Linked DNA regions of Drosophila melanogaster. The gene in region 2 interacts genetically with the main gene of each other region. Each region holds a gene or a part of one and is shown on either strand. Other genes may lie near its edges.

What was found.
Region 1: of Prosbeta2 (region 2) and HDAC6, changing one suppresses a phenotype caused by changing the other (phenotypic suppression), as found in Drosophila melanogaster (one study listed by BioGRID).

What each region holds. Positions count from the first base shown.
Region 1 is NC_004354.4:15,332,297-15,336,222, reverse strand, and holds the start of HDAC6 (histone deacetylase 6), read right to left. Parts: upstream 1,746-3,926; 5' UTR 1,573-1,745; coding exon of another isoform or gene 1,549-1,572; 5' UTR 1,267-1,548; coding exon 955-1,266; exon of another isoform or gene 874-954; coding exon 743-873; exon of another isoform or gene 678-742; coding exon 494-677; exon of another isoform or gene 252-493; intron 1-251. Other genes in the region: CG9114 (uncharacterized protein), read left to right, coding at 3,281-3,926.
Region 2 is NT_037436.4:14,998,120-15,001,819, forward strand, and holds Prosbeta2 (proteasome beta2 subunit), read left to right. Parts: upstream 1-1,831; 5' UTR 1,832-1,948; coding exon 1,949-2,010; intron 2,011-2,080; coding exon 2,081-2,260; intron 2,261-2,525; coding exon 2,526-3,102; 3' UTR 3,103-3,200; downstream 3,201-3,700. Other genes in the region: mRpL39 (mitochondrial ribosomal protein L39), read right to left, coding at 61-503, 677-777, 842-1,166, 1,418-1,490.

The DNA.
Region 1 (3,926 bases), on a different chromosome or scaffold from region 2:
CGGGAATCTTATCTAGGATGTAATAGTATGAGTACCAGCCCATTTTAACGAATTTACAGTGCGCTTCAGATTGCTGGAGGATTTAGCTAATGAAATATAAAGTAATAAAAGCTGCGGGCAGTCGTAATAATTAATAACTAAAGTTTGAGCAAACTAAATAAAGATTGCACGCAATATAAAGATAATGAATATCACAACAAGAATAGACATATTAGAATTACAATCGGGGAATAAATGCATTTTAAGTTCGGAGGTATAATCATTTGCATAATTTATGCCAGTCACTCAACCATTTACATTTATGCACCGCACTGTACCTGTGCAATGGGTCGCATCTAATCTAATCTGCTCCAATTTGCATTTATCAAGCCGTCGAATTAAAAACAACGCAATCTCCGCAAGCAATCAAGTGCAAATACAATAAAATGAGCTAATTTGGAGCCAGGCACTGGGATGCACTGTTCCATGTTCCCCGTTGGATGCGCTTGCTCACCGGATGAATGTAAATTGAATCGTAGCGGGAGCTCAGCTCCTCCATGCGCTCGTCATCGCGAATCCCGGACGTCTCCTTCAGCCGCTCGAAGTGCTCCTCTGTGTGCAGGCGCAGAATTTCATCCTTGGTCGCCGATCTCGAGGGCAACTCCAGGCAGCGCTCCGTCAGATTTAGTTCGCGACAGCTGGATGAGGAGATTAGGGAATACATATCAGCTTAATTTGTACCGTTTTCTTCAAATATACTCACCGTTCCAGGACTCGTGTGAAGCGCTCGGGACACTCGTAGTGCTCCTTGTCCCACAGGCAACAGTGCTGGCTCATGGACTCATCGTAGATCAGTGCCGTTGGTTTCCGCACCAGACTCTTGCTGTTGACAGCCTTTTCGTCGGCGACGATTAAATATCACTTGGTTAGGATTGCACAAGGACAGAGGATAGAGGTCAGTCAGATAGCACTCACATTCTGGAATATATCCGTGACGCTCTCCTGCGATCCGCAGCCCTGATTCTTGAGCATGTTGTTCCGAGCTCGACGTTTCGCCTCCAAGAGCGCTGCGTTCGGTTTGTTCGACTTTCGCGGATCGGCGGCATTAAATCCGCCGCTGATACTGCCGCTGCTGCTGCCGGTGCCGCCGGCCGCCGTCGCCGCCCCTGTCGTGCCCGTCTTCGATTTACTGGCCATTGCCCGTGTCTGAATCTTTGCCTGCTGCGCACTCCGTCGCGTGACGATGGGCGGGCTCTGCGAAAACGAATTTAAATCTTTAGTAAGCATTTCCCGCTAGGTAGACACACAACGCAGCTTCTGGCGGGGATTCATGCACAGATGGATCGCCAGTGCTGCTCCCACAGGCGAATTTGATTGCCCACTGGGGTGAGACAAGTGCTCAAGAATCCAGTTACCTAACCCTTTCCAAACAACCATATGTGGAATGGCATGAAAGATTTTACCAATGTTACCACATAAAAAAGCAACTCTCGGCCTTTTTCAATCGAAGATTACGGCGATTGACATAGGACTTTAGGAATCTGGATTGCAACTAATCTGGATTAAAACCTGTATCCAAATATCGCGTAACATCTATGGTCTGTAACTTTTTCGGTTAACTGCTTAAAATTTTGTTTACTATTTGCAAAAATGTAGTTTTTTTGCTGTTGCTAAACATTTAATCATGTTTTACGTTACACTATGCTAGAATATTAAAAATTTGAAACATGTCAAAAAAACTTCAAATCTGGACTGTTGGGTTTATTGCTCAAATTAATACTGTACAGTTTGTAAACTTCAAATATATGTTTATATTTCTTTTTAACTTCAAAAACCGAACATTGAGGTTTCACTGTATTTGGAACAACTACACGATAGTTTCGAAAAGCATAGCTTAAATATATCTTGTAGCTGTACTTAGACTCATATAAACAACCTCTTAGGACTTTGAAACCGTATATTCAGAGCGTTCTTCACGCGGAGGCTGCACTGCGTTTTCAGCGGACAACTGTTTACCACGAAGTTCGGATTGGAACTGCGGCGATGGAGGAGCTCAAAACCTGGCCAAGAAGCTTGCACTGTACGTGTGTGTGTGGTGTGTGGGTGTTGCTGTTTGGTTGCCACTGCCGCTTTTGGCCAAAACAACTCGAAAACGGCGGCAATAATCTGCCAGTACTCACCATGTTTGTGGGATTTCGAGTTGGCAAGCAAAGCTAAACCGATCCGAAGAAAACAGAATCGAACCAAGCGAAATCCGTATCCGAATCGGAGTCCAAATCCGAATATATATGGAAGTGGAGCAACTGGAGTGACTGAAAGCGCGGGGGAGCGGGACGGAGTGATTCACAGCTGCTTTTTGTTGTTGTTGTCGCTTTTTAATATCGCATTTACAGTATTTATATTTATTGGTTACTCCTATTCCGCTCCTCGACTCCCGTTATTTATCGATTCCTTGCAGCACACTTTTCTTTTATAAATTAGCCTTATTTTGTGTCTCGCTCTTACAGCCGCACCGAATGCTTGTGTGTGTTTGCGCTTCAAATGCTCTGCATTTGTGTTGTTGTCTTTTATCGTTGTTCTTGTTGTTTCTTACGTGTGTGTGCTGCTTGCAAACAGCTAATACTTAAAACACTGAGCAACAAAATTAAGCTTTTGCAGGCGATTGTCTTTTGATTTTTGGTAACGTTGCAGTTGATGCAGAAGATGCAGCAACAGTAACAGATACACAGACACTGCAGCGCGCACACACACAAGGACACGCGGGAAATCAGAACCTGAACCAGAAATCACACACAAGAATGTGGGGCCCGGTTTGTGGAGCGCTGTGGGGGTTGCGAGGCGGAGCGAGAGAGAGAGACGGTGAGCGCGAGAGACAGAGTGAGAGAGATGGGAAATGAGAACGCGCGGGCGGAGCGGAGTGCAATGTTTGTGTGGCGTCTTCTTCTTGCTACTTACAACGATCAGCTGCTCCGCCGATTGACACAACTTGTTGAATAATCGGTGTTAGTCGAGGGCCAACGTTATCAGCTTATCGATGTGCGTTTTTTATGAGAAATTGCTTGATTATGAGAGAAAGTGGAGGGCACAGATTGGTTAGGCAACACTGATTGTGTTTATGCGGTGTTAAAGACTTACCTCTCGCTAAAAGGAGCATTCGAAACTCGATTAATATTGGTTTTTCCATTTCAAAATAGCCTAATATCGTTCACCGCATCGATAACTACTACTTGAATTCAATAGCTATCGATTCGAAGGGCTTTCGAGTCAAGGGCGCCACATCCATCTTGTGGCTTCCGCATCCATGCTGCCGTTTGTCCAGGAGAATGTGCCGGAGATGCTGCTCCAGCCGGCCCGGTTGGCCTTCTGCGCCAATCTTCACGTGGGCCGACCGCGGGATGACCCCACTACATTGGTTTTAGCGAGAAACCTAAAGTTCTACGAATTCCGGCGCAAGGATCTGGTGCACTACATCGATTTGAAGGTCACGAAACTAAAGCAAATAGCCACCCAACTGGAGGCCTACGACGGACCGGTTTGTCCCTTTCTGTCCAAGCAGGAACCCACTGACGAAAAGGTGGACTGGAGCATGCTGGATCCGCCGGAGGATTTGCCCCTCAAATTTGGAAAGTTTGTGTGGCAACGGGAGGGCATCTACCTGTTAATTCAGTGCTGGAAGCATCTCGTCGTCCTAAAGAGGCCCAAGGATCACGGGGCCAACTTCGAACTGGTGGCGGATCACAAGGATGTGGTGGACTACCAGATGGTCGAAGGTCCCATTTCCTTCCAGGCCGTTGTGGAACTGGAGTTCGGCAATGGCAAGCGTCAGCGTTGTGATTTCCAGGAGGATTTCTTAAATGAGGAGCCCAGCACGTCCAAAAATGCGGGCTTGCCCGCGAAGGATTTCGAGAACCTGCTGCAGGAGGTGCACCGCGCCCAAGCCGAGCTCG
Region 2 (3,700 bases):
TAAAATGTGTTTTAAATTTGTGACACAGCTCTTTATCGAAAAACGTCGAGATATACTCACAGGTTTCTTAGAACGCTCCTCCAATACACCAAATGCAACATGATTCAGTTGGAAGCCAGACGGCAGTGCAACGCCCTGAATGCGATAGAAAGCACCAGAGGGACCCTCCTCCGCAACTTTGTGGGCAGCCGAGATGACGCATTTCCCCAAAAAGCTGGTAGACGCCACCATTGGACCGCGTGAGATGTCGATATGATCACCCAGGCGATACAAGGTGACCCTTCCATTGGTCTGCTGCGAGATGCTGGGCAACTGTTCGCTCTTATACTTGGAATCCTTGAACATCTCCTGGGCCAGATCCTGTTGGACGTCCAAACGCTCGATGCGCAGATCCTGAGCAGCCAGTTTAACCATCTCTGCCGAAAGGGCGCGCATCTCTTCTTTTCCTGGCTCCCAGTTCTGGGTTTGGAGCACAATGTCGTGTACGAAGCTACCTGATTTGACTGTGAAATGTAATAGGAGTAATTTTATAATTTGTCTCGCTTATAGAATATTCCAGACAGTATTAGTTTTAAGATATATATCTATGAAATTTTCATCCAATTAAAAGGGGGAAAGACGAAACCTAGTAAAAAAAATATCCTAATCTTAAATCCTAAAAAGTGATTCTGCTTACTATTGGGTCCAGGAAAGCTGTGGAGCTGAAGATTGGCCTCCGGCTTGAAAGCGCGGTTCAAGGCGGCTCCCAACATAAAGCTGCAAGTGCGCCAGAATGCTCTAAAAGTAAACAACATAAGCAAGTTTAATATAAATGCCATATTATAAATAGTATAGCACTCACTTGTTGACCACATGTGGCTCGGAAACATGGAAGTTAAGCAGCTGCAGAGTACAGGATTCCTGCAAGGGTCTGTGCATATCCCAGGGAACACTGCCGTCGATCAAGGCCAGTGCCGATCGCTTACAGTGCCCCTCACTCAGATGCTGGGCGCAATTGAAGGGCGTTGAGATGTTGCCGTTCATCACCAGAGTGACATCCTCGGGAAGTCCCAGATACCGCACCTCGATCTTATCGATTCGACCCACTGCATCCCGTTGACGGCGCTGCTCCTGGTTGAACAGGTCATTCCGCTTGGCTAACGATGCAGAACTGCCACTAAAGTTGGCTGTAGGGATAATTAATAAGTTAAAAGACATATTTTATAGTACAGTTTCAACAAATTGAATTTAAATTATGGTTGACTATCTAAAATAATAACTGGGATCTATAGAAATTCTAGCGATTTTTCCGCCAAGACATCAACGAACTGCCATCACTAGCCGAAGAGCTCCGCGGAACGTGAATGACTGCCGGCATTATGTAAACCACTTCCTCCATCTTTGGTCAATAAAAGGACTCCTAATTAGTGTTACTTACCCTTAGTTCTGTATTGTTGAAGCTGCCGCAGGGCGCACCAGCTTGTTTTATGTAATTTGGTGGCCGCAGACATGGTAAATTACCAAAATACTCTTCAGGGATGCAGTTCACAAAAGTGATGGTACTATGCCAAGATGGTCAGGTGGAAACAGTATATCGATATTTTTCAAACATGACTATTCGCTTACAAAAGATAAGGGGCCTTCCTAAGCACTTATTGCATGTATACTGCGGGGAATATTTCCAAACATTAAAAAGTTTTAAAATTATACAATGCAACATTAAAATATTAAAATAATACAACATTGAATAATTTAAGTTACATAAGTCAAATTATTAATAACGTCAAATTATTAATAATTTATTTCTTCAATACTATCGCTCTAGTTGAGTCCATGAATATATATCGATACAATATCGATTGTACTTCCAGCTCTAGCAAGCATTTAACAATTTTGTTTGTCATCGCGCTCGGCAGAATTAAAACCTTAGTTTTCCTTGCTAATATAGTTGAATTGAAGAATATATATAATGGATTTGGATAACGCACGCGATCTGCCCCGCGCTGGTTTCAATTTCGACAACTGCAAGCGGTAAGAATCGTCCAAGTTGTTCAGCAATACCCCATCGGCTTTTATTAATTGGTGTTTTATTTGCTTTCAGCAATGCAACTCTTTTGAATCGAGGCTTCAAGCCACCGACCACCACCAAGACGGGAACCACAATCGTTGGCATCATCTACAAGGATGGTGTTATTCTGGGCGCCGATACGCGAGCCACCGAGGGACCCATTGTCTCGGACAAGAACTGCGCCAAGATCCATTACCTGGCCAAAAACATATAGTAAGTCCACCGACGGTATGCGCCTTTAAGTGCACAGGGAACCTAATAATACTATAAGAGGGATTACGGTATTTTTTCCTGCATTTCAAATGTGGGCCTATTTCCTTGTCCTCGCCGGCTTAGATCAATTTGTCTCCAATTTTAAGGGGCCCGTGTTTTAAGTTGAGGATCTTAGGGTGTAGCTTATGTTGCTCTAACTTAAAAATATGTGTACTTTCTAACATGCAAGTATCTCCCAATACCTAACGAAAATATTTACCTTCAGCTGCTGTGGAGCTGGAACCGCTGCGGACACTGAGATGACTACGGATCTCATCTCCTCCCAGCTGGAGCTGCATCGCTTGCAGACAGATCGTGAGGTGCGCGTTGTGGCCGCCAATACGATGTTGAAGCAGATGCTTTTCCGCTACCAGGGTCATATCAGTGCCGCTCTGGTGCTTGGTGGAGTGGATAAGACTGGACCCCACATCTATTCCATTCACCCACATGGAAGTTCGGATAAGCTGCCGTACGCCACCATGGGATCGGGTTCCCTGGCCGCCATGACCGTTTTCGAAAGTCGCTGGAAACCTGACTTGTCCGAAGAGGAGGGCAAGAAACTGGTGCGCGATGCCATCGCCTCCGGAGTGTTTAACGATCTGGGTTCGGGATCCAACATCGATCTGTGTGTTATCCGCAAGGGCAGTGTTGAGTATCTGCGCAACTATGAGCTGGCTAACAAGAAGGGCAAGCGCCAGTTGGACTACCGCTTCAAGACCGGAACCTCAACCGTGCTGCACACCAACATTAAGGACCTACTCGTCACCGAACGCGTCCAGGCGGTGCCCATGGAGATTTCTTAAAGCGATTCCCCTTTCTACCCTTTTCGTACATTTATTATAATAAAGCTTCGGCAGGATCTATATGGAGTGGTTCAATAAAGGAAGCCATGCTTCATCTTAAGTTGCTGTGTTTTTTTCTGGGGTTTTTATTAGACTAGCGATACTCCTAGGCGGACAATGCTTTGGTCATTAACGAACTCCTAGCCAGGGACCAAAAAATAATTATATTACAATGTTTTCCAAATTTAAGAATGTTTCCACATGGTTAGGGCACAGTGTCGAGTTTTGGTCCATCAATCTCTTTGTACTTTTACGATCCAGATTTTAAATAATTATTTTAAATTTAAATATTACCATGGAGCAATGATTTGAATTATTAAATACATTTAAATTAGGTAAAACAAAAAGGGGGTTTTGGTGATTTACGGACCCTGGCATAAATTAAATAATAACTATAAAAGAACATTAAAGCTTAAGAATTAATTTAGCTAATATCACATGGTACAGAGGGTCAATTCCTTACAGTTGAAGGCACTTTCCATCTCCTTAGAATAACGGGTTAATTGGCACCAAGAATTCACTTGATTGAGTCAGATCATACACACTCCTTCTAGGACTA